2 linked regions of the Saccharomyces cerevisiae S288C genome follow. The protein of the gene in region 2 binds, or shares a complex with, the protein of the main gene of each other region. Each region holds a gene or a part of one and is shown on either strand. Other genes may lie near its edges.

Region 1 (2,882 bases), on a different chromosome or scaffold from region 2:
TCCGGTGTTCGCCTTTTTTTGTTATTACGTTGTTTCAAGTATTCGGTGTACAATGCATTTGTAAGCGTAGAAACACTATTATCGGCCCCCTTTCTCTTCGCAAGTATACCTCGTATTTCGGGATGAACAGGCTCTCTTTTTATATTCGCAAATTCCTTCTTTACTAATTGATCTATTTCATTTTTGTAACCATCTGGTATTTTCCCTTTATCAACAAAGCTAAGGCCGTCCATCAAATCTAAACGTTGAATACCGTACGGTTGCTCTTTCAGATATCCTAGAAGTTACATCTTTTATATGTTTCAGTCTTATTCCATATTTATTAGACTAGTGTGATTTGCAGGGTGTAAAGCGGGTAACCAAATACAAGAGGTCATATTTCAGGACATGATCATATAACAATGGCAAAATTGACTTTAAATCTTAAATATCAGGAGTCTTATCTGCCCCAAATTATATATACAAGTATAATTATCTCTCTCTATTTCTAGAATTTTCTTATATACTAAAGCTAAATTCTATGCCTTTTCGCAGCATGCAGAGGCGACCATATACCCCTCACACTACTGTTCAAGCTTTCCACGTTATCATTCTTTGTTCTTCTGCGTAAAATGTCTCCATCAGAATCCTTCAATAGCTTTAGCTTGTTTTCTACATTGTCAATGTTCAAGTTTCTCACACAAATAACTTTTTCACGCCCATTTGTGTATTCTGCCCTCAACAAAGGATGTCCAGACTTCCTCATCACTTCAAACTGTATCCATGGGAACTCCTGGCCCCATTTATCTAATCTCTTTGAAGTCAAAAATTTCCTCATGCCTTCCGAAGACCCTCCCCAGTTACAGAATTGCAAAGTAATCTTTCTGCATGGAAACACGAATGCTCCAACTCCATTACGACCTATGGAATTTCGTGCAATAGCTTTCACAACCATTTCTCCATATATTCGTGTCTGTGTATCTACTTAGTCATGGTTTATGATAATCGTATTGATTGATCTTTTTTATCTCAGGGCTTATGATTTGTTGTAATTCTTATGAGCATCCCTCATCCGAAAAAGACGGAAAGCACCGTAACGTATAGTGCGATAAACTTACAGAAAAGAATAGTATTATTTAAGGGAGTTAAATGGAGTTGTTTGATGATATAGGCAGATCAAACTACGCTTTACAGTCCAGTAAACTTAACAACGAAAAATGTGTTTAGTCAAAACTACGGCTCATTTGCTTTTTTATTCCTTTGTGTATGTACAGATTAAGACACAAGAAAAAATTTGAACAATTATGATTAATTGAGAATAACTGACTAACAACTTTTATGTACCAACTTAATCTTTCAGATTTGGAGGAACGACGTTTTATTCCTATGTAGCTTCTCCAATCGCATTCAAAGTTCTTGAAAAAGACCAATTTTCTGCTTTGCAAAATAAGATCTTCCCGTATTTTTTCCAAATGCAAGCGGCATCACCTGTCATCCTGGCCCTTACCGCTCCAATTGCCTTGACAACAGGACCATTATCTTCTTTGGTGGTTGCATCTGTCAGTGGGCTAACCAATTTGTTTTGGTTGTTGCCCTGGACCCATAAAGTTAAAGAACAAAGAAAGAATATTGCGAAGAAATACACGGGTAGTGAATTGGAAGCAAAGGATGCTATATTACGTAAAGAATTTGGCAAGTCGCACGGATTGAGTCTTTTGTTCAATCTTTCTAATGTTTGCGGGATGCTTGCGTACGGTGTTTGTTTGTCAGGTGGTTTGTTAAGAAAAATTCCAAAATAATTATTTTACAAGTAAATATATATATGCAAGATCATTTTTTCGTCATTCCTTTGCCAAGGTGGAGATGAAGTTCGCAATCGGAATTTTTTGACCCTCAATTAAAGAATAAGGGACTCAGTTCTCTGCTATCCTGATCTTGGCTAAAAATAACTAAAAGGGGAATTGTGCTGTTTGTAGGATCTTAAAATAAAAGAGAACAATATTTATCTTGAAGTTTTTTCTATTTTTTTATTTCTACAAGCTTTTCTTATATATAGACCTAGCAATCCTATATTATTAAGCCGGAAAATCGTAACGAATAAAAACGAATAAAGGAGATACTAGAAAGGGCCTACTTTTTAGCAATTTGAGCTTCTAAATAATTTTTTAATTCCTGTGCGAAAACTTGAGATCTCAATTTATCAATTTCACTTTCATCAACAACAAGATTCAATAAATCTTTGTATTGCTTTTCTAATTCAACTTCATTCTCTTTATGTAAAAAATCGTAATCACCTGTATCGAGATCCAAATCCACCAAATCACCATCTCCAAGTCCAAAAGATCCAGAGCTGGATGGCATAACCAAGGAGTTTATGTCACTCCAATTCTTTTGAAGTATGCCAGCAGCGTGTTTGTTATTTTGTTTAGTACCTTGTTTAACCTTCAAATCTAACAACTTCTTATAGATTTTTCTCGCACCAATCTTTTTATTAAGAACATTATTAACTTGAACTTTCAAAAGTTTGACATCAATATCGATATCATCTCTACAAATTAACTTATTGAAGTCGATCCTTTCACTCGGTCCTCCGAATTTACTCTTTTGCAAAAATTTCACTATCGTAGTAATCCAAGTAATAAAACCTTCAAAAATGCCCTCTGAATCGTTCAAATATACATCATGAATAAACTCAAAAAAGGCATCTTGATGTTTGGTTACTAAGTTATGGATTTCTTCCACGACATCGAACTGTGTGGAAACGCCCAACTGACCATTGATAACATCATCAACAAGCCTGATCAAATCACTCATGAACTTCTCAAAATTTTTCAAAGCAACATCCATCCTTGCAACTTTGAAGATCTTGACCATAGGTTCGTAAATCATAGTGACAATTGCCT
Region 2 (2,974 bases):
TTTTTTCTTTGCAGCATCGAAATGCTGTTTAATTTTGACAATTTCAGATTGTATTCTCTTTTCCTGCTCTTGTGCTTGTTGTGCAGAACGAAGATCTGCAATGAATAACTGTAGGCCCTTGATGGTACTGTTATTATTAGAAACACTTGAGTTTATAAGTGTTTTTTTGCGATCCATGGCTTATAAGATTAGTACTATAATAAAGGTTGCGAAATTGGAAACTCGATTGACTAGCAAATTCCAACTGTAACGTTCCTAGTGCTTCTTTGACCCTCAAATATTTCTCAGTGTTTATACCTCAGCTGGATCAAACAAGTGTTTTTTCACGTCGTCATGTGTTTCTTCAGCGCTCACTCCGGGGAAAAACTCCTATTCTTCCGCAGAGAGTATACAGTGCATACTAGAATTAATAAACTCATAGCCATGGCTAGATTACTTGATTGTGAATATCGATATTTTTCAATAGTTATATACATGTATACATGGTGTGTTCAATCCGTTCAACGTCCTCTGAAGAGTTTGTACTGTGGTTCTTGAGACTTTAAAATATTCAAATACTTCTTTGATGGCTTCTTTGCATTTTCATCGTAAAAATTCTTCACTGGGTCGTCTTTAGGATTTTTGAAACTATGTAATCCAACTCTAACCAGAGAATCCAAGGATACAAATTCATATACCCCAGGTAACTTGGTGCCTGCTTTTCTGAAGGCTTCCCGTGCGACTTTTTCATGCAAATCATCACCATTTATTTCGAAAAGGATCTTCCCTGTGGGTACCCTCACCATCCAGTGGTCAAACCCACCTTTACCTTTACCCATTCTTGTTTCGTTACCCTTGATACATACAGCAACGTTTGTACACAAACGCCTCCACAAATGACCATTGTTTAAAGGCCTGACATATCTCATAATTGCGTTATCTGCTTCCTTCAGCTGTTGCGCGGATATCCTAATACCTTCGCTTTTCAGTCGTAATCCGTACTTACCAAATTGCAAAGTGGATCCCTTTATTGAACCACCTGTACGAACTGGCACTCTACCTTTTTGCTTTTTCTGTACGATTTTGAAACGTGGGGCATATTCATGCTTGAATCTCCTAGCAATAGTGGTGTTATTTAAAAAAGCATTGGGGGAACTTTCTTTTAAAGTTAGCCCTCCCATCTTTATGGATAAATTCATTCTTGTTAAATAGGGGAACATGTTGCAAAATTCTATTCCTCTGTACCTCTGGTGAAAGGTAATCAACTTCCCGGCAATATGTACGCTCTACAAGTGGACTGTTAATTGGTAATAATTTCTTCCAAAGAAGTCTTCTTGTTATTTGAGCACCAATATGATATTATTATTTCCACCAGCATTCTTTCGTAATTAGTGATTCAACTGGATACAAAGCCTAGGGTTCTGTTCTTTGACCCTAAGTTTTAGAGTTAGGTTTCTCGTTATTGGTGATAACAAATTTTTTTTTTTTTTTTTTTTTTTTTTTTTTTCAAAATTTTTCACAGCTCATCTCATCGAGAGGAAAAGCATAGAATAAAATTTAGTTAAATGTTAAGTATTTTACAGTATTTGCCATTTTTCTGCCATTCTAAGGTCGAAAAAGTTTCAGGCAGTTTCTCAGTGAATTGGTCAATAGAACAAAAGAAACTTATAGACAGAAAATGAAGTACGTTGTTGTTTCAGGTGGTGTCATTTCGGGTATCGGTAAAGGTGTTCTTGCATCTTCAACTGGTATGCTAATGAAAACCCTCGGTTTAAAGGTTACGTCAATTAAAATTGACCCTTATATGAACATTGATGCAGGTACTATGTCTCCTTTGGAACATGGTGAATGTTTCGTGCTTGACGACGGTGGTGAAACAGATTTGGACTTGGGTAACTACGAGAGATACCTTGGAGTTACTTTGACTAAAGATCATAACATTACTACTGGTAAAATATACTCGCACGTTATTGCTAAGGAAAGAAAAGGTGACTATTTAGGCAAAACCGTGCAAATTGTCCCTCATTTGACCAACGCTATCCAAGATTGGATTGAGCGCGTGGCCAAAATTCCTGTAGATGACACCGGTATGGAACCAGATGTTTGTATCATTGAATTGGGTGGGACAGTTGGTGACATTGAAAGTGCTCCTTTTGTGGAGGCACTAAGACAATTCCAATTTAAAGTTGGAAAGGAAAATTTTGCCTTGATACACGTTTCTCTAGTTCCTGTCATCCACGGTGAACAAAAAACTAAGCCAACTCAAGCTGCCATCAAAGGTTTGAGGTCTCTTGGTTTAGTTCCAGATATGATCGCCTGTAGATGTAGTGAAACTTTGGATAAACCAACAATCGATAAGATTGCCATGTTTTGTCATGTGGGGCCTGAACAGGTGGTTAACGTTCACGATGTTAATTCTACTTATCACGTCCCATTGTTGCTACTGGAACAAAAGATGATTGATTACTTACACGCCAGATTAAAGTTAGATGAAATATCACTTACAGAAGAAGAAAAACAAAGAGGCCTGGAATTATTGTCTAAATGGAAGGCCACAACAGGTAACTTCGATGAATCCATGGAAACAGTGAAGATTGCTTTGGTTGGGAAATACACCAACTTGAAAGATTCTTATCTATCAGTGATAAAAGCATTGGAACATTCATCCATGAAGTGTCGTCGTAAGTTAGACATTAAATGGGTGGAAGCTACTGATTTGGAACCTGAAGCACAAGAAAGCAACAAAACTAAATTTCATGAAGCATGGAACATGGTCAGTACCGCAGACGGTATCTTAATCCCCGGTGGTTTTGGTGTTAGAGGTACTGAAGGTATGGTTTTGGCTGCTAGATGGGCTCGTGAAAATCACATTCCATTCTTAGGGGTTTGCCTGGGTTTACAAATTGCCACCATTGAATTTACACGTAGTGTGTTGGGAAGAAAAGACAGTCATTCGGCAGAATTTTATCCAGACATTGATGAAAAAAATCACGTT

The links. Proteins that work in one complex are often made in the same cells at the same time.
Region 1: MRPL16 (region 2) and MRPL51 share a complex: the UniProt entries of both Saccharomyces cerevisiae proteins name them as parts of the mitochondrial large ribosomal subunit.

Annotation. Positions count from the first base shown.
Region 1 is NC_001148.4:727,843-730,724, reverse strand, and holds MRPL51 (mitochondrial 54S ribosomal protein mL43 MRPL51), read right to left. Parts: upstream 935-2,882; coding exon 512-934; downstream 1-511. Other genes in the region: SNT309 (Snt309p), read right to left, coding at 1-233; YPR099C (uncharacterized protein), read left to right, coding at 612-968; TMH18 (Tmh18p), read left to right, coding at 1,197-1,243, 1,340-1,778; LEC1 (Lec1p), read right to left, coding at 2,110-2,882. UniProt on the Saccharomyces cerevisiae protein: Component of the mitochondrial ribosome (mitoribosome), a dedicated translation machinery responsible for the synthesis of mitochondrial genome-encoded proteins, including at least some of the essential transmembrane subunits of the mitochondrial respiratory chain.
Region 2 is NC_001134.8:144,412-147,385, reverse strand, and holds MRPL16 (mitochondrial 54S ribosomal protein uL16m MRPL16), read right to left. Parts: upstream 1,200-2,974; coding exon 501-1,199; downstream 1-500. Other genes in the region: APL3 (Apl3p), read right to left, coding at 1-177; CTP synthase URA7, read left to right, coding at 1,658-2,974. UniProt on the Saccharomyces cerevisiae protein: Component of the mitochondrial ribosome (mitoribosome), a dedicated translation machinery responsible for the synthesis of mitochondrial genome-encoded proteins, including at least some of the essential transmembrane subunits of the mitochondrial respiratory chain.